4 linked regions of the Pelodiscus sinensis genome follow. The protein of the gene in region 4 interacts with the protein of the main gene of each other region in a pairwise test. Links are inferred from orthologs where the notes say so. Each region holds a gene or a part of one and is shown on either strand. Other genes may lie near its edges.

What was found.
Region 1: the proteins of FSD2 (region 4) and speriolin-like protein interact in binary tests that used the Homo sapiens proteins (3 or more experiments, as listed by UniProt). The two-hybrid records come from large-scale screens. The link is inferred for Pelodiscus sinensis from reciprocal best matches to the Homo sapiens genes FSD2 and SPATC1L.
Region 2: the proteins of FSD2 (region 4) and LENG1 interact in binary tests that used the Homo sapiens proteins (3 or more experiments, as listed by UniProt). The two-hybrid records come from large-scale screens. The link is inferred for Pelodiscus sinensis from reciprocal best matches to the Homo sapiens genes FSD2 and LENG1.
Region 3: the proteins of FSD2 (region 4) and SH2D4A interact in binary tests that used the Homo sapiens proteins (3 or more experiments, as listed by UniProt). The two-hybrid records come from large-scale screens. The link is inferred for Pelodiscus sinensis from reciprocal best matches to the Homo sapiens genes FSD2 and SH2D4A.

What each region holds. Positions count from the first base shown.
Region 1 is NC_134717.1:61,496,836-61,503,841, reverse strand, and holds the start of speriolin-like protein, read right to left. Parts: upstream 3,010-7,006; 5' UTR 2,913-3,009; coding exon 2,717-2,912; intron 1-2,716.
Region 2 is NW_027465849.1:4,030,808-4,037,828, reverse strand, and holds the start of LENG1 (leukocyte receptor cluster member 1), read right to left. Parts: upstream 3,001-7,021; 5' UTR 2,916-3,000; coding exon 2,784-2,915; intron 2,082-2,783; coding exon 1,899-2,081; intron 1,420-1,898; coding exon 1,166-1,419; intron 821-1,165; coding exon 604-820; 3' UTR 1-603. Other genes in the region: voltage-gated chloride channel TMC4, read right to left, coding at 6,002-6,052, 6,738-6,816.
Region 3 is NC_134715.1:4,803,748-4,810,786, reverse strand, and holds the start of SH2D4A (SH2 domain-containing protein 4A), read left to right. Parts: upstream 1-4,018; 5' UTR 4,019-7,039. Other genes in the region: GSR (glutathione reductase, mitochondrial), read left to right, coding at 2,539-2,672, 3,416-3,565. UniProt on the Homo sapiens protein: Inhibits estrogen-induced cell proliferation by competing with PLCG for binding to ESR1, blocking the effect of estrogen on PLCG and repressing estrogen-induced proliferation. May play a role in T-cell development and function.
Region 4 is NC_134724.1:20,216,757-20,224,304, forward strand, and holds the start of FSD2 (fibronectin type III and SPRY domain-containing protein 2), read left to right. Parts: upstream 1-4,538; 5' UTR 4,539-4,695; intron 4,696-5,169; 5' UTR 5,170-5,362; intron 5,363-7,437; exon of another isoform or gene 7,438-7,548.

The sequences.
Region 1 (7,006 bases), on a different chromosome or scaffold from region 4:
AAAAAAAAAAAAAAAAAAAGAGAATGTTAGGAATCCTTTAAAAAGGGATAGAGAAGACAAAAAAAAATCCTATTGCCTCTATATGAAACCACGGCACACCCACATCTTGAATACTGCGTACAGATGTAGTCACCTCATCTCAAAAAAGATACCTTGGCATGGGAAAAGGTTCAGAAAAGGGCAGCAGAAGTGATGAGGGGCAGGGGCAGATGACTGTTTTGCGGGGCCCCGGGCAGCATAACTCCGCGGGGGCCCCCCCCTTTGCTACGGCGCATGCGCGGGGCTTTAAGCGCGGGGCCCAGGGCAGCCACCCCGTTCGCCCTTCCCTATACCCGCCCCCGATGAAGGGTTTGGAACAGGTACCATATGAAGAGAGATTAAAAAGGGAAACAAGATGACATTCTATAAATATATTAGAAGCAAGAAGACGACCAAGGACAGGGTAGGCCCATTGCTCAGTGTGGAGGGGGAAAAAGTAACAGGAAACGGCAGAGATGCTTAATGACTCTTGTTTTGGTTTTCACGAGAAGTCTGATGAAGGAATGCCTGACATAGTGAATACTAGTGGGAAGGGGGTAGGTTTAGAAGATTTTTTTTTTTTTTAAAAGACCACACAAACCCACACCCCTCCTCCCCCAAGTTTAAAAAAATCACTTAGAAAAGTTGGATGTCTGCAAGTCACCAGGGCCTGATGAAATGCATCCTAGAATATTCAAGGAGCTGATAGAAGAGGTATCTTAGCCTTTAGCTATCATCTTTGGAAAATCATGGGAGACAGGAGAGATTCCAGAAGATTGGAGAAGGGCAAATATAGTGCATATCTATAAAAAGGGAAATAAAAACAACCCAGGAAACTACAGATCAGTCAGTTTAACTTCTGTGCCAGGGAAGAGAATGGAGCAAGTAATTAAGGAAATCATCTGCAAACACGTGGAAGATAATAAAGTGATAGGGAACAGCCAACATGGATTTGTAAAGACCAATTCATGTCAAACCAATCGGATAGCTTTCTTTTATAGAATAGCGAGTCTTGTGGATACGGGAGAAGCGGTGGATGTGGTATACTTAGATTTTATTAAGGCATTTGATACGGTCTTGCATGATATCAATATAACTAGGCAAATCCAACTTAGATGAGGGTACTATAAGGTGGGTGCATAACTGGCTGGGTAACAGTTCCCAGAGAATAGTTATTAATGGTTCACAATCTTTCTGGAAAGGAGTAACAAACGGGGTTCTGCAGGGGTCTGTTTTGGGACCGGTTCTGCTCAATATCTTCATCGACGATTTAGATATTGGCAGAGAGAGTACACTTAAGTTTGCAGATGATACCAAGTTGGGAGGGGTTGCAACTGCTTTGGAGGATATGGTCATAATTTAAAATCACCTGGACAAATTGGAGAACTGGTGTGAGGTAAATAGGATGAAGTTTAATAAGGACAAATGCAAAGTGCTCCACTTAGGAAGGAACAATCAGTTTCACACATACAGAATGGGAAGTGACGATATAGGAAGGAGTACAGCAGAAAGGGATCTAAGAGTTATAGTGGACCACAAGCTAAATATGAGTCAGTGTGACACTGTTGCCAAAAAAGCAAACATGATTCTAGGATGTATTAACAGGAGTGTTGTGAGCAAGACAGGAGAAGTCATTCTTCCACTCTACTCTGCGCTGATTAGGCCTCAGTTGGAGTATTGTGTCCAGTTCTGGGTGCCACATTTCAAGAAAGATGTGGAGAAGGTTTAAAACTAATAAAAGAAAGTTCTTCTTCACACAGTGCACTGTCAACCTGTGGAACTCCTTGCCAGAGGAGGCTGTGAAGGCTAGGACTATATCAGAATTTAAAAAAAGAGCTAGATAAATTCATGGACGTTAGGTCCATAAAAGGCTATTAGCCAGGGGATAGAAATGTTGTCCCTGGCCTCTGTTTGTCAGAGGCTGGAGAAGGATGGCAGGCGACAGATTGCTTGATCATTGTCTTCAGTCCACCCCCTCTGGAGCATCTGGCACTGGCCACTGTCAGCAGACAGGATACTGGCCTAGATGGACCTTTGGTCTGACCCGGTATGGCTATTCTTGTGTTCTACGTTTAAAACAAAGAAAGGAAAGTTTTTCTTCTCTCAGTGCATAGTTAAGCACTGGAACTCCTTGCCAGAGGATGTGGTAAAGGCTAGAACTTTAACAAGGTTCGAAAAAGAGCTAGATGGAGTCATGGAGTTAAGGTCCATCAACGGCTATTAGCCAGGATGGGTAGGAATGGTGTCCCTAGCCTTTATTTGTCTGGAGGTGGGTGACAGGAGAGGGATCACGTGAGGATTACCTGTTGTGTTCACTCCCTCTGGGGCACCTAGAATTGGCCACTGTCGGCAGACAGGATACTGGTCTAGATGGGCCTTTGGTCTGAACCAGTATGGCCATTCTTCTGTTCTTTTGAGAGTCCACAGTGTTGGTGGGACACTGGGGAGCATGCAGAAGAGACTGGGGAGGTGTGGGAGAGCTGGCATTGGTTTCAGGGCTGAGGTAGCCTTACTGCAGAGTCCCGTCTTAGGAAAGAGCACGTGAGTTTAAATACTTAGAACTTGCAAGAGTCGAATGGGTGGATTCAAATACAGCCACCGTGGGAACTGCCCTCTAGGGGCGCTTAAGCCAGGATGATCACTGAGCTAGAGGGCCGCTATTCACGAGAACAATCTAGGTCTTCCCGGTTCTCCTTACCTCCTTGGCCCGGGGAGCAGACATTCGGATACACGGGCGCAGAGCGGGAAGGGACACACCGCCCTTGGCTGCTGTTCTCATAGTGCTGATTCAGTAACGAACGCAATTCATAGTTCTCTCGGAGCAGCCTAACCTGGTTTTTCAGGTACGTGTTTTCGTTCTGGATGGTCCTGATCCACTCGCTGTCCTCGCTCATCGTCAGCCTCCTCCTCCGGGTGGAGTCGGGGGTAGCAGGCCGCCTCAGCGGGGCCAGAGTCGCCTCTCCCACGGCTTTCAAAGTCCCCCCAGGAAGTCTTGGAATGTTCCTACCCCATTGTGAGCTCATGGCTCTTAAAGGAACGGCTGGGTTTTTAAGCCCTGAAGACTGCGTCTTGGACATAACCTTGGAGGAGGCCAGATACAGTCCTAGAGCTTAACCCTCAAATCCTGATCCAAACCCCAATGAAATCAAGGGAAGGCTTCACACGGGCCTAGTAGCAGTGTGGTTGCCAAGGACAAAACTATTTCTCAGGAGAATTTACTTTTCCTTCTAGAAAAAGTAGAAAAACCAAGGCTTGCTGCTAGTTACATGAAGATCTACATACTTTTTTGGAACTTTTTGGTATTCTTCTTGGCCAGGCCAGCAGAAGCCTGGAAGCTAGCCCGGGATACCAGAGATACTCAACTTCTCCTCCTAATGCAGAGGAGAGAAATCTCTTTGGTCAGGGGATGCTGATGCACAGAAAGGAAAGAAAAAAAAAACCCAATCAGGGGCCAAGTGAGAAGCAAAAAAAAAAAACTACACATCACCATAACAACTACGAAAACCAAGTCACTGATGTGGTCCCTGACATTCTCCTCGCACACTGGAGCCTAGCGGGACCCAGGCTAGTCGGTTGTGGGGCCCCTTACACTCTGAGGTGGGGTCAAAAGTGAGGGGTTCAGTGTGTGGGGCTGCCAGAAAGCAGGTTTGTGATGTGGGGGTCCAAGCAGGGGGAGGGTACAGGAGCCTCAGGGGCTGGATCCAGGCAAGTCAGGGGCTGGATTCAGCCTTTGGGCTGTGTATTCCCCACCTCTGTCCTATAACAACCCTGTATAGACAATACAACTCCTTATATTGACTAAGTATGCAGACCAAAGCGGCAAGAACACAGAAGGCTATGGCAGCATGGAAAATAAAATACCTTCATGTCACTGTGTTTATCGCTTGCTCCAATGTTTTGGTTGCCACGTATTTGTCTAAAGGCAAAGGGATACTACCGTGAACCCTAATGTTTCAAAGTTCACTCGTAAGCAGTAGCCTCCCCAGGAACTGAAATTGGGGGGGGGGGTTCAAATTTACAAGGGGCAGTGTCAGGGTTGATGAGGGGTGAGACCGTGAGGGTGACAGTGGGCCGTATGGCACCATAGTTCACAAAAGTGGGGGGGTGTTAGGGAAACTTTGGGGGGGCGGTTAGGGAAATCCCTGCTCGTTAGGACTGTCCTGCAGCGCCAAGCACACTGGTATTTCCAGAGCAGGTGGGCGTTTAGGACAAGGATCCTTATTTTCACTGACTCTGGCCCTCTTCTCCCCAGGAGGCAAAGCGCACCAGGAGCTCTGGTGCGTCAACCACAGAAAGCTGCCCGGCTAGATTGAGTCAAAGCGTCTGAACTTGAAATGCAGAGAGAAATTGGGACTGTACAGAAAGAAGATAAAATCCAAGGTCCAAGCTATCCTGATTCCTCAGCAGGGAGAGTGGAAAGCAAGCTAAATGGCAGCACAGATGACAGATTTTACTCTCCTTAGTGGAATGCCATCCCTTTCCCAGAGTGCAAATCCACCTAGGAGGCAGCAGTAACAAGCAATTGCCAACAGGTGGCAGACTTACACCTGTAAGCACAGTCTGTAGGATCCTACAACCAAACCCAGGGCCTGCCCCTAAAGGACACCATGCAGTAACCAAGTGCCCTCTCCAGAAACAAGCTCACTCATTGCAAGTGCAATTAGTGAATCGTTGGGGGACAGACTGGGCAAGAGAAAGTGTCACAGCTCCATGAGGAGGCTGGGGAAAGCAGAGGCTGGTTTCTTGCATCTAGGATAAGGTGCAAAATGGGGAGGGGGATCTTATACCTTGACTACTGCCTGTGACTCCAGATCCTTTGCCCCCTGCTTTCTGGTGTTGTAGAGACTGGCCTGCACGTTCTGTGAGAATTGTTTTTTGCCTGCAAAAAGCCTCATTAACCTCCTGCTCCTGCCAGCTGCGGGGAGACCAGCCCTTGCAGCTGCTGTACCTCAGAGAGGATCCCTCCGTGTTTTCCTCGTGGCATTAACAGGCAGATGGTCACACAGGGATGAAGCGGCTGTGCTGGCTGTTACAAGACCCCGAACAAGGGAGCAAGCCCACCAGGGCATGCCAGCCTGCAAAGCAACCTACATGCCGTCCTAAAGGCCAGCACCCATCGGGGACAAAAGGGCACATGCATCAGACTCTCCTCTCCAGAGACAGCAGACACACAGGGATGAATTTGCACTTTCCCCAAGAGACAGGTGGGGGCCAGGCTCAAAGCCATCTATCCGGCAGGTGGGCTGTAAAGGAGAGGAGGAATGAATCTCAGAAGACCCACAAATTGTGTGTGCTAATTGTGCACCTAATCCTCATTACTCGGTCACACAGCTGCCTTCCTACACAACCATTTGACCTGCCTTTGGAAGGGGAGAGGGAAGAGACTATATAAAACAAGGAAATGTATTGAGAGAAAAAAACCTCTTGATAGTTAGAGGATGGTGGTACCAAGAGCAAACGTAGCAGGCCCAAGAACAGATTTGGATTTGAGAACCTGCTGCAAGCGTTCAAGAAGCTGTAGTTTGCAAAGCTTGTTCCAGCTGGGTTTGTTGCACATGCTGCCAGGTGGATTGTAAAGTAGCCAGAGGCCATGAAGACAAACAGTAGCGCCTGCATTTAGGAGATGCGGTCTAATGGGACAGCTTAACACAGTGCCAGCATTAGCCCTTTGGAGGCACGCAGCAGGAATATTCCTGGCCCTCCTCAACACATACTAATAATCGATGCAGGATTCCCAGGTAGGTTCAAGCAAGTGCTCAGTCTGCTTATGCATAGCACCAGCTCTGCCTGAAAAAAAGTCACTGGAAGATGGAAGCTTAGCTTAATTTCTTCACTATTGGTAGAAAAAAAAGGGAGGCCCTGCTGGTCAATGCAAACAGGACCCCAGACATCCCATGGGGCACACGCCTTCCCCACACATACCCTTGTTTTCCTACCAAGGGTATGTAATGCTCTACCCTTACCTGCAGCTCAGCTCCCAAACAGCGAGCACACACTGACTACAGGCAGGGACTATGCTAGCAGCTGCTGTGAGTTATATGCCAATGACCCGGTCCCATAATTCTCCTAATAGTGGTCCCTTTACCATAAGCGCAGTAGTACTGCAGCCCTGGAATGCATGGGACTGGATATGGTGCCACTGATATTCCTAGAGCAGAAGGGATCCAAGCCGGGCCGGGGGGGGGTCTCCCTGTGAGTGCAGTGGCTGGGGGGGAGAGAAGCGCCCACATGCCGACGGGCTGAGTCATGAGCTGGGTTGCCACAAGGCCCGGCCTGCTCCCAGGCTTATGCTCTCAGCCCAGCCAGGCTGACGTGGCTGCATCCCTGCAGCCGGAGACGCATGTTTCAGGGTGGGCCCTTGTGTCACAACGTGCTGGTGCTCGGTGCAGCAGCTTCCCCCACCTCAGTCAGGCACCCCAGGTCTTACCACCCGGCCCCACCCTGCCTCAGAGCCAGACGTCACCCCCCACCTGGCTCCCTCTGCCATCCCCCTCACCATGGCCTCTCATAAGACAAGAGGGCCACCGTTCCCCCAGCCTCCTTCCCATGAAACCCACCTCTGTGACACCCCGTATTCCAAACGCCACTGGGCTCCCCAGGCCCTGTGCACCCCGCCTCTGTGACAGCCCTTCCCCCCAGCCCTTCACAGCTCCCCAGGCCCTGTGCACCCCGCCTCTGTGACAGCCCTTCCCCCCAGCCCTTCACAGCTCCCCAGGCCCTGTGCACCCCGCCTCTGTGACACCCTGCCCCACCCCCGCACGGCTCCCCAGGCCCTGTGCACCCCACCTCTGAGACACCCTGCCCCTCCCCCGCACGGCTCCCCAGGCCCTGTGCACCCCGCCTCTGTGACACCCTGTCCCACCCCCGCGCGGCTCCCCAGGCCCTGTGCACCCCACCTCTGTGACACCCTGCCCCACCCCCGCACAGCTCCCCAGGCCCTGTGCACCCCGCCTCTGTGACACCCTGCCCCACCCCCGCACGGCTCCCC
Region 2 (7,021 bases), on a different chromosome or scaffold from region 4:
AGCAGCCACACTGCATGGTGGGCACCATTGGGGGTGGGGACATAAGAAACCAGAGGCAGAAGTGGAACTTGAAAGCCAGGAGTCCTGACTCCCAGCCCCCTTCCTGTAACCACTACACCCTGCTCCCCTCCCAGAGCCAGGAGCTAGACTTCCTTGCCCCCCCAACCACTAAATCCACAAGCCGGGCCTAGAGCACAGTGATTCTGAGGCTTTGCACTGTTCTTCCACCGCTGCAGCCGGAACCCAGGCCAGGCCAGGCACCCCCCTCCTGTGAGTAAATGTGACCGGAGCCCCTGCCTTGGAGGCATTCAGGTCGCCCCTGGTACCTGCTGCTGCTAACACTGGGTGCTAAGGGGGGAGAGAGTCTAACATGGGACCCTGGCAGAGCAGCCAGCACCCTCCTTTAGAAGTGAGAAGGGCTCTGGCTCTTAAGGCCCCGGCCCAGCCAACCTTCCTGACCTGGGGGTGGCAAAGAGGGCAGCAGTCAGTGCTGGGACATCCCACCGGCTGCCGTGCTGTGATGCCCGTGTCCCTGCTGGGCCTGCCATGTGGCCCTGGTGCAGGGGCCACTGTGCCCAGGGCCTGCTGTTCAGCCCCCAGAGCTCAGTGCTTTTCCCTCTCGTCCCAGGCACGGGGCCTGCGCGCTAGCTGCGGATTGAACTGGGAGTTGTAGCGACGTTTCCTGTCATCCGCCTCCTCTTCTTCCTTGGGCTGTGGCTCCCCCAGCCGCCCAGCCAGCAGGACTTCCGCCCGGGCTCGCTCAGCCTGCTCCCGCCGCAGCCGCTCCCGCCGCAGCTGCTCCAGGGAGAGGGAGGCAGAGCTGCAAGGACAAGCAGAAGGCAACCATAGACCTCTAAGCCCTGGGCTACCAGCTGGCCGCATGGTCCATGAGAACTACAACTCCCAGCATGCAATTCTCTCTCTCTCTCTCTCTCTCTCTCTCTGCAGGAGAGAGGTGATGCATGCTGGGACATGTAGGCTTCTATTTCCACACCTCCTTCCCAATATACCTGCAGCTGGGAACAAGGGAAGTAAATTGCATGCTGGTAAGTGTAGTCCTTGTGGCCTGCAGCATTGCATGCTGGGACTCTTAGTCCCTGAATCCCCTCTATGGTGCTACTCTTACTAGGTCACTGAAACCTAGCTCTGCCGGTATCCAGCTCACCCCACTGCCACTTTCTCCTCCGCTGGCCCCTCTTTCTCCTTCTTGCGCTTCTTCCCCTCCCCTTTCTTCTTGCGCAGGTGACTTTCCATCTCCCGCAGCGGGTCCAGCATGCCCTTCAGCTTTTCCTGCTTGGTCACAGCTGCTGCCTCCAGGCTACGGTCAGGGGCTTCCTGGTACCATGGCCGGCTGGTCTGCGCCTCAGCGGCGCTCTGCCCCAGATAGGTCAGCAGCCCAATAGCCTTCTCCTGGCGCTCCTGGTTGGGACAAAGCAGAACTGAATTGCCTAGAAGAGGGGGCAGCCTCATCTGTAAGGGGGCAGGGTGGGGCCGATCATGGCTCTGGGTGAGACTGAGTGTTTGCAGCGAGGGAAGAGGAACTGGAGGGCAGCCAACGGGATGGAGAACCGGTGGATGGGGGGAGCCAGCGTGCAGGGCATGGAGCAGCACTGCCTTCTAGTGGTGTAAGAGCATGTTGTGGGGGAAGAGGGAGCCCTCAATTCTGTACACAGCCTCTTCCTCCTACAGGGAGCTGTGTTCATACCCACCCTCATCCCCTCTCCTCCAAGACACCAGGATCTGAAACTCAGCTGTACCCCAGCTCCTGTAACAGGGCAGGTGTAGCTACTCTATTGCACGACCCCCCACCCATCAATGCAGCTATGCGGGGGCAACGTAAGCCAGGGTGGAGCTCCCAGAGAATGCAGGTGCTGCTCCCCACCTCACCCCCCCTTTACCTTTTCCTTGCGCTTCTCCTCCTCATATTCCTTGTTCCTGGCCTTGGAGCCCTTGCCCTCCTCCAGGTCCCGGAAGAGGTCGACGTGACGCGGCTCCTCATCGCAGGGGACCAGCGCCGAGCTGCCATCGGGCCCTGGCAGGGCAGACAGCCGCGCCTTCTTCCTCAGGAACTCGGTCCGTGCCTACAGGGCGAATTGGGGGCTGGGTGTGGGGCCAGCTCCACCGGGGGTGGCGGGGGCCCGGGTGGCCATGAGCTCAGTGCAGGGGATCTGGGGGGCCGTGGGGCTGAGGCCTAACGCACTCCCCTCACCTGGGGCAAGGGCAGAGTGGGCAGGGGCCAGTGATGTTACTGGTGCAGCATCTGCCACGCCAGCCCCCCATCCACTGAGGCATGTGGGATTAGAGACCTACCCCATGGAAGATGGTTTAGCTCAACCCCCCCTCCCCATTGGAATGGTTCAGCCCAGCTCCCTTCTGGTCTGCTTCACTCCCCCTGCCTTTGGAAATGGTTCAGCCCAGCTCCCTTCTGGTCTGCTTCACTCCCCCTGCCTTTGGAAATGGTTCAGCCCAGCTCCCTTCTGGTCTGCTTCACTCCCCCTGCCTTTGGAAATGGTTCAGCCCAGTTCCCCTTTCTTCTGCTTTCCCTCCCATATTTGAAAACGGTAAATCCCAGAGCTCCCTGCCTCTTTATCCCTACGCCGTTTAGAAATGGCTCAGCCCCGCTCCCGTTTCGTTTTCACTCCTTTTGGAAATGGTTTAACCCAGGTTCTTACCCCCCCAGACGCTTAAAAATAGTTCAACCCATGACCCCATGGCACGAGTGTTCACTGTCACGCATGCGCACTCGCGGCCGCTTGATGGCGTGCGCATGCGCAGTCATTCACCTCCTGTTCGGCCAGCAGCGCCCGAGCCTCCCGCTGTCGCTGCTCCTCCTGCGCCTGCGCCTCGTCCCGCCGCACGCGGGCCACATTGTCCTTGTTCCGCACGTGCCACGACTTCTTCGGCAGGATGTTCATGGTCCCCGCTCGGGTCCGCCCGGCGCCGCGCCACTTCAGCTTCCGGGTCAGCTCCGCGTTCCAGAGCCGCCCCCTTTCCCCCGCTCTGAATCCTGATTCGCGGGTCCTAGTCCCGCCCTCGCTCCCTGATTGGAGACCCAACGCAGCACCGCCCCTTTTGCCTGATTGGTCCCCATCCAACCTCCCGCCCGAGCTCTTCTCTCATTGGCCTATTGTAGCCACGCCCCTCAGCCAAGCTCTGATTGGGCCAAGCTGGACACAGGCACAGCCCCTTGTAGCCCATTGGACGGGCCAAGGCCCCATTTTCACACCTCCCCTCCCCCACCCTGGAGCTGTTGCCCCCCCAGAGGAGTGAGACACCCCGGCCCCCTCCCCCATCTCTGTCCTCCCCCGCCCCCTCCCCCCTTCTCTGTCTGCCCCCCAGTGCCAGCCCCATCTGCAAACCAGCGGAACTCCTCGCCGCAGGACCCGCCCTTCCCCCAACACCAATGGGGAGACCAGCCTGAGCCTCCCCTCACCCCCACCCCCTGCGCTGCACCCCAGCTCTGGCAGCAGCCGGGTCACACGACGCTGCCAGGTGACCAGCCATTGGTCTGACACCGTATGGCCCTTCCTGGGTACCCAGCATGCACAGAATCACACGGCCTCCCTTGCAGCCGGGGGGAGAGCAGGGCAGAGATGTGAACAGTGGGCTCATTGGATAACCTTCACAGTTACACCCAGTCCCCCCCCCCTTCCCCTCTTTATCAGAGGCTGCAGTGTCGGGGGAGAGGTGGGAGCCAGCTTTTAAGCCTGCTTCCCACACGTACCAGCTCCCACAGATCCACCTGCCTCCCTCCATCCACCCCACTGCTGCTTCTGAGAGAGGCAGCAGCAAGGTGGGGGGGGGGGGGGGAGTCAAGCATGCAGGAGCCAATGCTCACAGGCAGCACGCACAAGCCAGCTCCTGCCTCCATGAAACTTTAAGCGGTTACATGTTTACCTAAATAAACACATTCATTTTAACATCCCTAGGGCAGGAGACCAAGCACTCGCTGAAACAGTGGAAGTAGCAGGATGGATGGGACAAACCCACCACTACTTGCCTCTAGCCCTGAACGTAAGAACGGCCACACTGGGTCAGACCAAAGGTCCATCTAGCCCAGGATCTTATCTGCCGACAGTGGCCAATGGCAGATGCCCCAGAGGGAATGAACAAAACAGGAAATCATCAAATGAGCCCTCCCTTGTCACTCATTCCCAGCTTCTGACAGAGACTAGGGGGGAGAGCAAATTTACCTAATCTCCATAAATTTGCCTAGTTGTTGAACCTTGTCCTCAGACAGGGAGTTCCACAGATTGTGCACTGGGTGAAGAAAAACTTCCTTTTGTTTGTTTTAAACCTGCTACCTATTCATTTCATTTGGTGACCCCTAGTTCTTATGGGAACAAGTAAATGACTTTTCCTTATTCACTTTTTCCACACCAGTCATAATTTTATAGACCTCTCCTTATCCTCCCTTAGTCTCCTCGTTTCTAAGTTGACAAATCCCAGTCTTTTCAATCTCTCTTCGACAAGAATGATTAAAGGTTTAGAGAACATGACCTATGAAGCCAGGCTTCATGAACTGGGCTTGTTTAGTTTGGAAAAAAGAAGATTAAGGGGGGACATGATAGCGGCTTTCAAATATCTAAAAGGGTGTCACAAGGAGGAAGGAGAAAATTTGTTCCTCTTGGTTTCTGAGGACAGGACAAGGAGTAATGGGCTTAAAGTGCAGCAGGGGAGGTTTAGATTGGACATTAGGAAAAAATTCCTAACTGTCAGGGTGGTCAAATATTGGAATAAATTGCCAAGGGAGGTGGTGGAATCTCCCTTTCTGGAGATATTTAAGAACAGGTTAGATAGACATCTGTCAGGGATGGTGTAGACGGAGCTTGATCCTGCCTTGAGGGCAGGGGGCTGGACTCGATGACCTCTCGAGGTCCCTTCCAGTCCTATGATTCTATGATTCTATATGGGACCCATTCCAAATGCTCGATCCTTTTTGTTGCCCTTTTCTGAGCCCTGCACACCAGGCCTCCCCCCCCCCCCCCCCCCCCCGTGGCCACCTTGATTACTTACCCTTTGACCAAGTAGCATTCTATTTTTACTTTTTAATTTCAACCAAAAATGGTGCTTTCGTTGTAACTTTTTCCCACCACTTTTCCCAGCTGCAGAAAAATCAGAAGAGGGTTAAAAAATGTCTGGGGCAGGAGGTTGGGGGTGGGCGTCACACAGTGATTTAATAACATTAGGTGTGAGAGACTCAAAAAGTTACAATTTTATAAGATGTTAAATTGTTATCATTGGGGCACAAAATACACCTAGAAAGGGGCCTGAAATCAAACGCTGGGAAGTTCTCACGCAGGGTTTCTCGGGCTTGGCCTAGTTGTAAATGCCAATGATTGTCAATAGCAGTATCTCTTTTGGGGTTTGGGTGTGTGTGTACGATGAAATCAGCCTGAAAACCCCCAATCAGGGAGGGAGAGACGCAGGTCTCTGCCAAAACGGGGAGACGGATCAGGTCTTGTAGCTGGGGAATACCAGCGCAGCTACCCTGGACTGCGCCAGTGGAGTTCTGCAGCCAGCTGGCGGCAGGAGATTCACATGGGTCCACCGTTTGGAGGATGTGGGGCTAGCCCGGGGCGGGAAAGAGAACACGAGAATGGAGTGTGGAATCCGGGCTCATTTCAAACACAAGGAATAACACCTCTCCTGAAAGAATGTCAGTCACGCGCCGGGTTCTACTTCACTTCCTGTCTGAAACTGAACAGTGGTGCTGGCTGGTGGTAAAGAGAAGCTGGTTCTTAGCACCAGGTCTCTGTATAAATGCCCTTGGGCACCACCTCAGAGGGGCCGTGTCGGGCGAGGGGACAGAAACAAGCTCTGGGCTCTTTGGGGGTTTCTGTCATTCCCCTCCAGCAGGGGGCAGTCTCGGCGCACAGGGAATCGGTGTCGCTGGCCGGGGAGGGATGGTCCAACAAGTTAGGTCAAGAACCCTCCGCAAATCAGCTGGCGGAGTTGTCTTGTTCCGGGAGGGGAAATCGTGGCGTCTGCTGCGCTCTCCTTAACTCAGCTCTGTGATCTGAGTCACTAAGAAAACTTTATTCCGCCCCTCCTGTGGGAGAAGAAAGGGTTAAAAAGCAGTGGGGAAACCCTAGGCATGGGTTCCCAAACTGGGGTGCGTACCCCCCTGGGGGGGGGTGAAGAAATTCCAGGGGGGATGCGAGGCAACCCAGCCTCCTCCCCCCCCATCAAGTTTTGCTGCCCTGGTCAGTTCCTTTTTTTTTTTTTTGCTCAACAAGTTTTGCTGTTATTTTTTGGGGGAGGGGGGGCGTGAAGGTTTTTCAAAAATCAAAAAGGGGGCGTGATGCCGAAAAGTTTGGGAACCACTGTCCTAGAGAATAAGTACAGCCATCTAGGGCACTCCGAGGGCCCCTCTACCCTGGCATCCTGCCTCTGCCACAGCCCCGTCCCATCCACTTCGGAGCAGGTACCACGGCAGCCCCTAGTGGCCGAAGTGGGGCGTACACTGTTCCTCATTTATCCCTGTCAGTGTCCCATCCTGCCAGGCAGATCATCTTGCAGCAGGGAGTCCCACCGGCTAACGGTGATTTGAGACGGGAACCGGCTCTCCCGCAGCAGTGAAAAGCCCCGGGGCCCAATCTCCGCCCTTCTGTGCCAGCCAGTCCTCACCCTGAGGCCAGAGGGGAGCCAACGCCCCTAAAGGGGAAAGGCCCTGGGCCCCATTCTCTGAGCCAGCCAGCCACCCTAGAGGGGACAGGCGCCCTGACGTCACTCACCAGCCGGAGCTGCCCTTTGAGTTCCTTCACCAGGCGGCTGTAGGAATTAGCCAGGGCCATCAGGTAGAACATGAGGATGCTGCAGTGGGGGAAGGGAAGAGCAAAGGTCAGGAGGCTCGTGAGAGATGGGGGGTAGGGGCCGTGAGGCAGGGACCTGGCAAGGGGGGAATGTCAGAAGGGGGATTATCTGCGGAGCCAGCACAGAATTCTGTGTGTGTGTCTGTCCGTCCATCCCTGCTGGAGGGGACAGGCCCTGCTGTGTGTCCGTGTCCCTGCTGTCCAGG
Region 3 (7,039 bases), on a different chromosome or scaffold from region 4:
GTTCTCAGTCTCTTGAGTTCAAGCCAGGGTTGCCAACAGTCAGTAAATTTATGGGCAGCCCATAAAAGGAGCTAAAATTGGACCTGTCTGTAAAACATTTCCATGTCAATAAAAACCCACTGAGCTTCCTCCCACTTGGCTCTGGGGCAAGCTCCGCAGGGCAGCTCCGTAGACTCTACAGTTCCTGGGGCAGGGGGGAATTCTCCTGGTGGGGGCTGCTCTTCTTCACCTGTGGTGACCAGCTTTGAGCTCTTTGGTGTCACCAACCCTCATGCTCCTGCTGCAGCCCATCATTCAGCCTTTTCAGCCGTAGCCCCCTCCCCACCCCCATCCCGAGATGTGAAGTAGGTAAAACCTGAAGAAAAGTCTGTTTTCCTCACCCCTTTTGAATTTTGCCTGTGCCCAGAAGAGTCCCAAAAGGGTCACCTGCCTTGCCCGAAAGCTTTCAGAACTTGGAGGATGCGAATGTGGGTAGTAAATAGGTTAAACTAGCATAATAACATTGCTGCTGTGATGTCTGAATAAAAACATTGACTAGTGTTCCCTTTTGTCGTATCTTTATATAGTGTAAGAATGCGTCCGTAAAAAAGTTTCAGTAACTTTTTTTCCATGTTGTCCACAAAAATACTTTTAAGCAGATGGCAATCCTGGTTCAGGCTCAACACAACCCCTGCTGGATCGCTTGATAGCTTTGTTCACAGCTAATGTGTAAACTGAGGTAACCTACATTCCTTTGTCTAGGGCAGATCTGTTTTATCACCTTTGCCTAGGCCAGGCTGTCATCTTGTTCTAGTGACATTGTACAGTAGGCATGTAGAGCTTCACATAAGAAGTTAACACATGCATTTTACACTGATATTAATGAGCCGTGTGCTACAGGTTGAACCTCTAAAATCCATGTCTCTCTGGTCTGGCAGGACCACAAATATTGCTGGGCCATATTACCCTGTTTGGCCAGGTTCAGGAGCAGTGGTGGGGAGCGCCAGCCATGGGCTGGGGCAGGCAGCAGCAAACTGTGCTTCAGGACCACTACGGTCCTGAGAGTGTCCGACTAGGGAGATCCCACCTGTATTAGTTTTAGGTGCTGTCTTGTAAAGGCATATGTTTAAAAAAACGTTTTGCAGTAGTGTGTAGGGTGTGAACACAGCAGTGCGTACAGACAGTTACAGTGTCTTACTATATAGTTTAGAAATGTGCCTCTCTCTGTCCGTCCATCTGTGTGTCTGTTTGTTCAAGAACTCCTCCTAAACAGTAAGAGCTAGGAACATCAGCTTCCTCTTACCTTCACCCCGATCCCCTGCCCCAGGTCAGAATCCCATCCTGCCCTAGGTCTCAACCCAAACTCCTGCATCCCCTCCTACACATCAGTCCCCTGTCCCAGGTCACAACTGCCTCCTTCACCCAAACTCCCTCCCAGATCCCACACCTCCTCCATTAAAGTAATGGAAGAGTATAGCCTTTGACTACTTTCCAAAATTATTGCCCACCTCTGTTCTACTGTATAACCTAGCCACAAGATTTTAGAGAATTTTAACTACAAAAAGTATATTGCAGTTACTGCAGCTGTGGGTCAAAAAGTGAGTGCCTATATTTCTTAGGGATCCCACATTTAATTTTATCTCCACAACTAATAAATAGATTTTTTTTGTAAATTGCCAAGTTCATTCTTTACTCAAAGTGCTGTAGGCTTGCAGATGCTGTGCTGTGTTCTTCGTACATAAGTGTGGCCCTGCTTAAGGGCAAAACTCAAATACACTTTGACTATGAAATGTCTGAGGACACCTCCATAATGCCGCCATTAATTTATTTTTTGAATGTCAGATTTGTTCTTTTTGGAAAACTTACTAAAATGTGTTTGTCCAGAATACTTTACTTCTTCCAAATGCTTAGTCGTTTACAACGCTTGGTCCCTGTGTTGTGCTAGCAATAGACTGTTTCAATTGCTTGCATAAGTACCAATGTCATTAAGAAGTGTACAGAACATTTTCCTCTGTCGCTGTGTAAAGTGGTCTTCATTTCATCCTGCTTGAGTATGAGGGATTGTTTATACTACTACTTAACAGGGGGGAGGGATAGCTCAGTGGTTTGAGCATTGACCTGCTAAACCCAGGGTTGTGAGTTCAATCCTTGCAGAGGCCATTTAGGGATTTGGGGCAAAAATTCATCAGGGATGGTACTTGGTCCTGCTGTGAAGGCAGGGGACTGGACTCAATGACCTTGCAAGGTCCCTTCCAGTTCTAGGAGATAGGCAACCTCCATTATAAAAAAACTTACATTGCTCTGGGTTATGAAAAAGCCATGTAAATTACATCAACTTAGTATGGGGCAGACACCACTTTTATATGGATGTGAGACTCTCTCCCGCCAACACAGCTGTTTCTTCTTGTTGAGGTGGAGTAATTACGCTGAAGGGAAAGCGCTCTCCTGTTGGCGTGGTGTCCTTCACCAGACGTGCTGTAGTGCTGCGAGAGCCCAGTAGTGTAACTAGCCCATAGTCCTCTGCAGGCCATGGAGTCAAATGTCTCTTGTGTGTTACAGAGGAAGCCATTTCGACATATGGAAAAGAGAATGTGAAGATCTACAACACCTCTTTTACCCCCATGTATCACGCTGTAACGCAGAGGAAAACTAAGTGTGTCATGAAGCTGGTTTGTGCTGGCAAAGAAGAGAAGGTGAGCCAAATGAAATAAGTCATAGCTAAAATGTTAAGGAGAATGGAACAGCTTGTATTCTGCTGTTAGCTAAATCGGTGTGGCTAGCGAAAGGTAAAATAACTGGCCCACTGCCAGCAGGATCCTGATTAAACCAGCTAACCGATTACATGGGATTTTACATCCCTACCTCATCATTATTTGTGGCATATGAGGCTGAAGGGGTTCAGCTACGCCGCTCTAGTCTGACCTCATATATAACACAGGTCATAAAATTTCATCTGACTCCTCTTTTGGGCCTAATCAGTGTTTGACTAAAACATCTTTGAGACAGGCCCCCAGTCTTGAGTTGAGCATTTCAAGAGATGAAAAATCCTCTGCTTCCCTGGTAGTTTAATCTGTTCCACGCCCATGCTGATAGATTCCCTCTGGTTTTGCCAGCTGCAGGGGCACAAAGTTAAGATGGTGCTGCAGGGGTAATAGGGACTGTAACTTCGTATTTCCTAGTTTTCAAAGGTTTATATTTTGTCACTTCCCATATTCTGAAGCAAGCTGCTTTCCACAGGCTGGAAACACTACTGGGCGACCTTAACTCTTCACTAACTCCAAATGGGTAGATTTGTTTGAAAGGCTGTTGACTAGGTCAAAAGTAGCTTTTCTCTATGCCAATGAGTGATCAGGTTGATGGAGATTCTCTAGCTGGTTCAGTGATAACTGTCATTAAATGCTCATCTGTATTAAAGTAAGTTTCCTATTGTTTGAAGGTGGTGGGACTACACATGCAGGGACTAGGGTGCGATGAAATGCTGCAAGGTTTCGCTGTAGCAGTCAAAATGGGAGCAACAAAGGCCAGCTTTGATGAGACGGTTGCCATTCATCCAACTTCATCAGAGGAGCTGGTCACACTCCGTTGAAAGGTTGCGTATTTCTGAGGCTTGCAAACCAATCTGTAATACGGCAGCCAAAAACACTTGAAATAGGCTTGCGGAATCATAACTACTTTTCTTGGTGCCATTTAGACAAACTCTTTCTTTTCTGTGACACTCCAGATGATATTCAGATTCTTCTGTTTTTGTAATCTAGACATTTATAATGTGGGGAAAAAATCTGAGCGACGTCCAGTGGTGGTGGCATCTCTTCCTTTCATCCAAATAGCTTGGTTTCTTGAAGCTTCATTGGTTTAGACTGAAAAATAAATAAATAAAATAGTTTAAACTCTTTGGTTCTTGTTTGATTATCTCAGACCTCATAAGCTTATCTAAGCCCATGTTTTGACTGGCTAAGCTATCTGGTGCAAAAGAGATGTCTCAGTTTTCATTACTTTCACCATTGATTTTATCATGTGGGACATGTAGAATTGTCTTCCTCCTGTCTCGTTCAGCATGGCTCTGTGCACGCAGAAAAGCTCCTCTTGAATTATGATTGGCAGAAGGAATTTCAGGGTACGTCTACACTGCAGATGCCTGTGCCACTGACTCAGGGTTCAGAGGCTGTTGATTTACAGTGTCATCACTTGGGTTTATGCTCTAGGATCCTGTGAGGTGAGAGGGTCCCGGAGTGTGAGCTGCAGCACAAGTGCAAACATTAGCACTACAATTAAACAGTGCCTTAGCCTGAGCCCCAGTGAGCTGGCATGGGTCAGGGGCAGGTTATGTGCAGTGTGTACATACTCTCAGGGAGCAAATCTGGCCTTGTGGCTAAGGCACTTGACTGGAACTGAAATTCTAGGTTGTCAGTCTCTATGTAACCCTGGGCAAGTTACTTTCTTTGTCTCGCTCTCTGGCCATGTCTATACTTACCCATAGATTGATGCTCTGGAGGGCCATCTTCTGGCATTCGATTTAGTGGGTCTACTAAGGACCTGCTAAATCAAATGCCAAGGGGCTGCCCCCATTTATACTGGCACTCCTACTCCTTGGAAGGAGTAAGGAAAGATAATGTGAATGTTTCTCCCATCGACCTCCCGCCGTGGCAGTGGTGCCAAAGTTTGACGCAAGGTACTTAATGTAATTAACGTAGCTGAAGTTGCATATCTTAATTCGAACTTATCCCCTAGTGTAGACCTGACCTCTCTCTCTGCCCCAGCTCCCTAGCTGTGAAGTATGGATAGTAATGTCTTTGTCCTCATAGGCATCTGATCTTGGTTCAGTCCTCTCTATGTTCTTTTGGTGTAGAAGTGTGGTGTCGCCATAAATATGGTTGGGTTATAAATTAAGGCATAAATTCTTGTTTTTCTTTAAAAGTAGGTGGGCAGTTGGTACAAAGTGTTTTATTTTAAGCCTGCTGGTGGTGGAGACAGTAATATCAAATCTGCTGGGAAATCCCACAAAGAACCTTTTATCTGAGACAGTGACCAGGCCTGTAAATTGAAATCCCCGCAAGAACTATCCAGTTGCAGTTTGTGATTCCTGAGTTGGAAGTTGGAAGAACACCATGGAAACCTCATACTGGCTACTGCCTCTTGCATGAAGTATCATCTCCACACCACTGAGGCATGAGTTTTATGGGATGTGATTTGGAGTCCTGTCTTCCCACCTGTCGGGGGATTATGGTGGGGATGACTGGTGTGATGAAACACCCCCCCCCCCCCCCCGTGTTCGCACCCTATACATGTTGTACAAAATATGCCTTGTGAAGTTTCATTTGAAAACTAACAACTCACTGGTTGGTAATGTCACAGAGAAATGTGTGTAGTGATAGTAGATATACGATTTAAACAAAAGCTGAAATCATGACAGAATTGTGTTTACCAGGCAAGTCTGGGAGTGGATAAACTTGTTTCTCAAAGACAAAGGACAGACTCACAGCTTTGGCCTGGTGTCCTCTAAGCTGATGGGCCCTCACCAATCAAGTGGCAATTCTTTGGCAAGGGAGAAGGGTGGGGCAGGAGTGAACAGATCTGCACCTTAGCAAACAGCCATTCACCTCTTTCACTAGCAGACTCCTGGATTCCAACCTCACAATAGGAATGACTGTTAGGGATAACCCTCAAGAAAATGGATTTCAAAGAGAGATTGAACTATAAAAAGCGAGTGGAAGAACACACCCTATCCATCTCTTGCTCTCTCACGTGAGAAGACAAAAGAAATCAGCCTATTTGGAAGAGATCCTGACCTTGGTCAGCTTTGTTGCTGGACCCCTCTGGTAAGAATTTTATTTTGGACCAACTCTGTCCTAAGTTTTAGTCCTAGGAAGTGTTTTATCCTTATTTCTCTTGTATCCATGTCTGACTCTGACTTTAAGTGAATACAAGCATAGGGCATTAATCTTGTAGTTTAATACATTTGTTACATTCTTTAATTAAAATCAGCCCAATTTTAACTGTCCATTTATGGCAGGAAACTGTATGTTAATCCCCTTGCAAGAGTTGGGATTACAAAGGGTATGGCTCATCAACCCAGAGTTAGGGGTGGGGTCAGAGGTTTCCTTGGCCTGGGATTTGGATTGGGGTCAGTAGGAGTCTCCAGGCTACACATGGTAAGGCTCCCTGCCCGAGGGTTGGCCAAAAGGGAGGGTTATGGTAACATTTGCAACGGGGAGGGGTCCCTTGCCTAGGGCTAGGGTTACAAAGTAGAGGGCTCCCACTGGCTCCTGAGCCTGGGGCTAGAGTTTGGATCAGTAGGGTTCCTTGGCCTAGAGTGAAGGTTGCGCGCTCAACCCCAGGGTTACTGTTGGGGTCTGTAGGAGCCCCGGGCTAGAGTAGGATTGTCAGTACAGGTGGGGTGCTCTGGCCTATAGTGGGGTTTACAAAGGGTAGGGCCACTAGCCCTAACATTAGGCTTGTTGTTTGGGCTCCCTGCATTGTGGTAGGGAGCCCCTGTGCCTATGGATATGATTGTTGTCAGGACTCCCCAATGGAGGGTTTGAGTTCCAAAGGGTAGGTCCTCCAGTTGTGAGGTCACAGAGCACCTCCGCCCAGGGACTCCCCAGTCTAGGATTAGGGCTACAAAGCATAAAGTCCCATGGCCTGGGATTAGGGTTGGGGTGAGCAGGCGTCCTTGGTGTAGGTTTGGGTTGGGTCAGTACAAATCCCTGTCTTATGGTACAGGTTGGGTCATCAAATTTCCAAGCAGAAGGTTTGGTTAGAAATGGTAAGGCGACCCGCCCTTGGGTTTAGATTACAATGGGTAGGGTTCCTTCTCCTAATTTCAGGACTGGGGCCAACAGGGCTCCCCATGCTAGGGGTAGGGCTCCCTGGCCTAGAGCTAAGATTGGGGTCAGCAGGACTCCCTGCCTAGGTTCAGAGTTGGGGTTAGCAGGGCTCCCTCACATCGGGTTAGGGTTACACAGCATAGTGCCCCCAAGCAGGGTGAGGGTGAAGGTCAGAGAGTCCCTAGGGGTATGTAAGGGTTGGAGTTAGCAAGGCTCTCTTGCCTGGGGTTCGGGTT
Region 4 (7,548 bases):
TAGATATTTTTAAATATATAAAACAACACCTCACTTTTTCCCTTCCTATCATTCCTGAGCAAGCTGTACCCTTCTAAACCAATATCCCAATCATGTGTATTATGCCACCAAGTCTCTGATACCAACAATATCATAGTTGTGTTTATTTACTAACATTTCAAGTTTTTCCTACTTATTCCCCATACTTCTTTCATTTGTATACAGCAGGGTTGGGCAATATAAAAACAGAAGCTTGCAGAGTTAGACCCTGGTGGGCTGCCACCGCCATGTTTACCTATGTCTCAATAGGTCTTGGAGGATTGCCACTCTGGGTGGCTGTGTATCACCATTCGTGGACAATGCAAGTGGCAGAAAGTGTTGCGGACCAGGACACCACTTCCCACTGCTTAGATTGGCTGCAAATGGCAACCCGTGGACAATGAGAGCTGCGATTCTCCGATACCTTTGGAGGTACAGATAAACATGGAGGTGGGGGGCTGCCATGGGCTAACTCTGGAGACTGGATCTGGCTCACGGGCTGAAATTTGCCCACCCCTGGTATACAGACCACTAAAGTATTGGGTTGATCCCCCTCCCCCCCCCGAGTTCTGCCTTGTTTCTCCTTTATCTCTGCTATTACAGATCATCTCCCTCTAGTTTCTGACCCTTCGTCACATTTTTCACTTTACCTGTGGACTTTGGTCATCTGCTCTAGAACCTAGTTTAAAGCCCTGCTCGTCTTGTCTGCGTCACTGATTTCAGTGATAGTGAGGCATCTAGATACCACTGAGGAGTTTTCTGCATGAAATCAAGAGCAATTGTTAAGTCCAGGGGCGGATATAGGGCAGGGTGAACGGGGCGGCCTCCCCGGGCCCCGCGCTTCAGAAAGCCCCGCGCATGCGCCGTGGCACCGCTGCGCATGCGCATGGCGTCACTGTGCATGCGCCATGGCAAAGGGGGTCCCTGCGGAATTATGCTGCCCGGGGCCCCGCAAAACGGTCATCTGCCCCTGGTTAAGTCACGAATGGAAAGACATCAATACATGTTATCCGGGATATGTGACAAATATAATTGCATAGATAACCGATACTTTACTAATAAAAACCACTGACTCAAAAGGCATTGTCATTTAGATGCAGAAGAAGAAATACAGAGCTGTGTACAGTATATAGCAAATCTAGGACCTGATTCTGGAAAGAATAACACTAGTAAGATGTTCAGAAGGTTATCTTCAGTTGCAGTCATATAATACTGTTGTAAAGGTATCAGCTCTTATAAATTAAGGCAGTCTGGAGAGGTTCATTTGATGGATGGGAGATTACAATGATGTAGTAGCAATTCAGCACTATTTTCTCTCAGCATGGTATTAAGACGATGCCGCTACTAGAAATGGCAATTTTTGGATGAAAGATCATACTGAGCTGGGGTCACAATGAAAGAAAAGGTGATAGTACTTTGCCCTCAACACCAGAGTTGCTAAATGTTTCTGCCAAAATCAGCGGAAAAAGAGTTAACAACATTGATATTTAAATTGTAATTATTAGCATTCAGCATTAATACCCCTTTCAGGTAAAGGAGGAAACCCACATCTCTCTTAAAGCTAGTGTCCCTATCAGTGTTCCTTCTAATTTTTTCCATCCACATGCAGAATAAATTTTGTTTGTGCGCCAAAGCATGCACAATGTGCACCACCACTAGAAACACATACTGCCAGATATGGGAAGTGGTGGGTGCTCTGCTAATCAGCTGGGCAGCATCTGAATCTCTCCTAAGTGGCAACCTGAGAGGTCAGCTTATGAGGAACACTGGTCCCAATCTATAGACCCAACATTGCAACAGTTCAAATTCTGAAGATTGTCTCAGCCTTCTTAATTTAAAAGGGGAGCAAAAATGATAGAGAAACACAGGGGCGGATGAAAGTTTTGTGGGGCCCAGAGTGCAGGCGGGGCCTATTGAACTGCGGGGCCCGGGGCAGCATAATTTTGCGCATGCGCCACGGCCACATTCGACAGGTAGTAGCACGTGTACGGGGCCTATTGAAGCCCGGGGCAGCTGCTCCACTCGCCCTGCCCTATATCTGCCGCTGGAGAAACGTATGGGGTCACTAGAAAAGTGACGGTATAGCATACCAATGCATAAAAACTCAGTCTGAGCCCTGAAATGAGGTGCTATCATTTGGGATCTTTGACACAAAACAGTCAAGGTATCAAGTGAGAAGAGCTGCAAGTATAGAACTTACTTACTTTCAAACCGATACACTCACTTTATAAGCAAACACCACGTTTTCCTTCAAATTGAGCAACTTGAAGCATGCAAAAAACTAATCAGAGACACTGCAGGTGAAATGCAGCTCTGTGTAGAGGATCGGCACAAGGCTTGATTCCCATGAATAGCTCCTTTTTTAAGGGGTTAAGTAGGAATTAGGAAATCAGTGGTCACCAACCAGTGAATCGGGATCTACTGGTAGATCTTGGGGCCTCTGACAGGTGATCCTGACTGCTTTGGCCACACGGCTATCAAGTGCCAGCACGTCAGCTGTTCCTCCTCCAACTGCTGCACAACTCCGGCCCTTTGCCTTGGAGCTGTTCCCCCAGGAGCCTCCTGCTTTCTATGCAGGGCAGGGAGAGGAGGTGGCACTGATGTCAATCTGCCCCTTCTCCCACTCTTTATCCTATCTCCACAGAATGGAGGGGGGGCACAACAGGATTTGGGATATAATTTGCTGGCTGCTTTTGGGAGTGGTGCAGGGCCAGGGCAGGGGGAAGCCTGGCTTAGCCCCACTGCATCACCACCCAAGAGACATCTGAGGTAAACAGTGCCCAGCTGGAGCCCACATCCCGAAACCCTACCCCAGTCATGAACCCCCTCCTGCACCCCAAGCCCTTGCCCTAATCCTGAGCCCCAATGCATCTAAACACCCTCCCAGAGCCTGAACCTAGAACCCCTCCTCCGCCCCAACTGCCTAGCCCAAGCTCAGCTCAGAGTCCCTCAAGCTCCAAATCCCGTAACCCAAGACCAGAACCTGTACCCCAACCCTCTAGCCTGGCCTGGTACAAGTGAATGAGGATGGGGGAGGGAGGATGGAGTGAGCAGGGGTGAGGCCTCAGGGAGAGCGGGGCAAGGAGCACAAAGGAGGCGGGGCAAGGGTGTTTGGGTTTGAGGTAGATCTTGAATTGCACTTAAATTCAAAACGTGATCTTATGCTTAAAAAGTTTGGAGACCCCTGACTTAGGTGGTCCAGAACCCTGCTTCAGGCACCGTACAACAGTGAATTTCACCCAATAGTCTGTTGTGGCCTTACAAAATAAGGGCATGTGCCATGTATGCCAGCTTTGCATCAGGGCACCTTAAGGAGATCTTTGCAGATTTGCAGCAAGATAACAGCAACATTTGCTTCTAATTTGAAAATGAATACAGACACTCTTAGACAAAATACTGAGGTTGGCTGCATCATTCATTTGGAAGTACTTCCTCTCTGACTTAAACAATAAGAGGAAATGCCAGGGGACTATGCAGAATGAGCGTGGACACACTAGCAGTTAGTTCATAATTCATTACTTGGGAGGATCACAGCAGGAGCGAGAAAAAGAAAGGAGGAAACTAAAAAATAACACAAGGTACAGAATTTTCCGTTGTGGGACTGCATGGTCAGTGAAACACAACAGATATTTATGAAGCTGCAATAACTTCATTGTCCTTTTAAGCACAAAACTATGCCAGTTAAAGAAAGGAAACAGGTGAATAATTTGAATGGCATTCAAGACCTGCAGTTAATGCTCATTCTGTGGCTTGTTTGCAAGCTACAGAGTATTACATATTTCAATTTCAGTGGATTTGTGTGTGGACTCATACATCACAAGGGCTACTGCAATCTAAATAATTTCTTATAATTATTATTAATAATATGGGGGCTATTCTTTAATCAGATGAGCAGTGCATTTACCTAGCTAGCAGCTGTTTTTTCTATTATTTTCAGCCCCCAGGTAGTCTGAAGTTGTATATATTGATATTTATATAAATTATTGCAATTAAAAATATAGATACAAGTTAATTACTTTTACCATAATGCTTTCTAGAGTCTGATCTTGCCTTCCATTGAAATAAATGGCAGTAATTCTACTGACTGAAGTGGGAGCAGGGTTGTGCCATTTAAACTTTTATGAAGAAGATAACAGATATTTAAACTTAACTAGGTCAGTGCATACCTGCCTGTCACAGAGAGGGAGAGGGAGAGGCAGAGAGAGAAAGAGAGAGAGGGACTATGCACCCTACATAAGGTACAAAAAATATTGCTTATTCTTGACTCACAACCTTGCAAAACATCATATTTAGATTCGCTGATGGACACATCAGATGCTTTTAATAATATCTGCACAGAGTTCTCTGTTTTTAAGGGGGCATTCCATGTCTGTTTAAAATACATCAAGCCTGGGAACCCCACAAACTTTTGGAGTCATTTTTTTCAGTGTATGACATTCATCCTGGTGACACTTAAGTAGTGTGAAGCTGAAGGACAGATCTATATTTGTCATTCTTGCTCACAGCTGACATGTCATTTGAGAAACTGTTTAGAATTACTTTAATAAGTTTTCCAGCTGCAGTCACAGGAAACTGGCAGGGAATTACCTTCATGTGAATTCATTTGTGCTAGGAAAAATAGATGTAAAGTTTGGTTCATCTGGGTTATAAGAAGAATGTATGGATTCTTAAGATAAGGCAAGTTTTTAGGCAGTATGAGTTGATTTTATGTGTTTTGGATTATTGAACCTCAAGGGCTCAAGACATACTGCATTATAATTGTATCTATGTTTGTAAATTAAACATACCACATAATCCCGACTCTTTTTTTGGCAGGAGTGTTCCAAACACATTTAATTATACTTGTTTTAATTTCTGTAATTGAATTACAATATTCTAGGCAAAATACTTGATATTTCATTTTTTGATTTAGTAGCAGATAATTTATAGTGTGTAAAACAGAATTTTTGGTTGTTAAATTATGAAAGAGTTAGACTTTTTTTCAATATGTTTCAAGACTATTGTCCTGTTTAATGTTTTAATATTTCATGACACTCGGGATATAAACATGATATATTTTATTGCCTGTGGCATATATATTTTCTGCCTTTTATCAATATTTTTAGTTACAGCAAAATGTGTTAAGTCTAAATTCCACTTTCATATTTTCAGTGACTGTGTGTTTGTGTGTAAAAGCAGAAGGCTAGACTGAGTTCTCAGTTACACAAATATAACTCTGGAGGATGGAATGTTTTTCACAAAATTTCTTGCAGTTCACCTCTATTTGATGTCTGTTAAACCAAGAGGCCAGTGAGCCTATCATCTTGCTGGAAATTGGCTGTTTGTTCCTGATACGTTTGAAAAGGTAAAAAAATGAGAAAATATTCTTAATACAATGTTGTTAGCTTAACAATTAACTGCCAGGAAATCAATAAAATCACAGAAAAAATGTGACCGGATAGGAACTAACAGAAACAGCAAGAGCTTTAAATGGCAATTTGGAAACCACACCAATGGTTACAACGTCTAAAATGGCTTCAATATGCTTAGTGATGACCGACAGTTTTGATTCTGTGAGAGAAAGAAACCCACATTGTCATTTAGAAGCCTTAAAATGTGACTAAATAGAGACTATAACTATGATGTATGTTCATTAACACACAATTGAAATACTTGAACTAATACTTGAAGTACTTCTATGACCCCTTTAACCATAGTAATAAAATTTTGGATACAAAACCAAAAGTAGTTATGCACTCAATAGGCATGATCTCATTAGCGCTGATAAGCTGTATGGTATCATACTGAATTTTCCAGTCTGACAGTGCACACCAAATGTTCGCTGAATATTAACATAAATTCTTATTCTGGCATTAATTGGCTTGCTAGAAGGGCTGAGAGTAGGGACTGTTCAATAAAAGGTGAGCGGACTTTTGCAAAACTCAGGAGTGAGTGAGGTAGAGTTCATTTCTTCAGTAAAACTTCATGCATTTATGCCATGATGAAATATATGTACTGTACATTCCAGCTTCAGTAATTGGGAGTCTCCATGCCTGTACATGAATATACAGAGAGTAGTTAGATACACACATAGGAATCTATACATATGTATTGAGAAAATTATGCTTAAATTACATGCAATTCCCCCTCCTCCCAAAAAACCCTATTTTAAAATAACATTATTAAGGTTGTAAAGCCAAGCATTGAAAAGCCATCCTCTGAGTCAGAGTGGGAAATAATTTTTGGTGCGGGGCCACTCCAAGATTTTGGAAACTGGTCAAGGGCCGCACTTTTCTGTAGAGGGGATGCAGGGTCTAGGATGAAGGTTGGGTGCAGAAGGGTACCCGGGGTAAGGGAATGGGGTGCAGGAGACAGTGTGAGGTCTGAGAGGGAGTTCGGGTGAAGGAGGGAGTTGTAACTAAGGATGTTAAGAAGTGGGTAATTAACTAATTGTGTATTTAATACAACTTGTATTGAGTACACAGTTAGTCGATAAAAGGCCCTGCTGCAGCTCTGTAGTTGAAACGTAGTAGGAGCCGTGCACACAGGCAGCCTGGCTCCTAGTACATTTACACTACAAAGCTGCAGTGGGGATAGGTCCAGGGGCAGCGCATGAGTATAGGCAGACTCGGCGGTTGCCTAGGGCGCTGGCTTTAATGGGGCGCCTGGGGCGCCTGATGATGACGTCACAGGGCGCCCGGAGCACCCGATGATGATATCACACCATTGATGGCCATGCAGGAGGGGGCGCCGATCCCGCATTCTGCCTGGGGCACCAGCTGCTGCTGCCGGCCTCGGGCCGCTCCTGGGTAGGTCCCAGACCTGGTGTGAGCTAGAACTGCTGAGTCCCGGCTCGCGTTGGATCCCGGACCTACTCTGCTGCGGCTCAGCCTTTTAAATGCAGTAAGAGCCGCCTGTGGTAGGCCTTACTACATTCTTTCACATTCCCATCTGTGTGATCGTTACTAGAAGTTTATGACTTTAAAAAAAACAGGTAGAGCGAGCCTGTGCAGACTGGGCTCTCTGTAGTACTTATTTGGTCATGTCTGTCCCTAGATAGGGAAATATTTAGGACACCAACATGAGACCTTCATCCTGAGTTTGGGTGTGGAACAGGGTTGGGCAATAATTTTTGATGGGGGGCCACTCCAAGATTTTGCAATGTGGTCAAGGGCTGCACTTTTCTGTGGAGGAGATGTGGGCTCTAGGATGGAGGCTGGGTGCAGAGGGTGCCTGGGGTAAGGAGCTGGGGGGCAGGAGTTGCAGCGAGGTCTGAGGGGGAGTTTGGGTGGAGGGGGAAGTGACCTGGATCAGGGGATTGGGGTGCAGGGTCTAGGAGGGTGTTTGGGTGCAGGAGAGGATTCTGGCCTGGGGGACGGGGTATAACAGGGGATACAGGGTTTGGGAGGGGGTTGTGACTTGGGACAGGGATTGCAGAGGGTTTGGATGGTGACTGGGGGAGGGAGTGGGGTGCAGGAGAGGCACAGGTGCCAGAGTCAGGCTTTGGCTGGAACTCTAAATGTCGCCTGGCCAACAGCCCTGCACCACCCC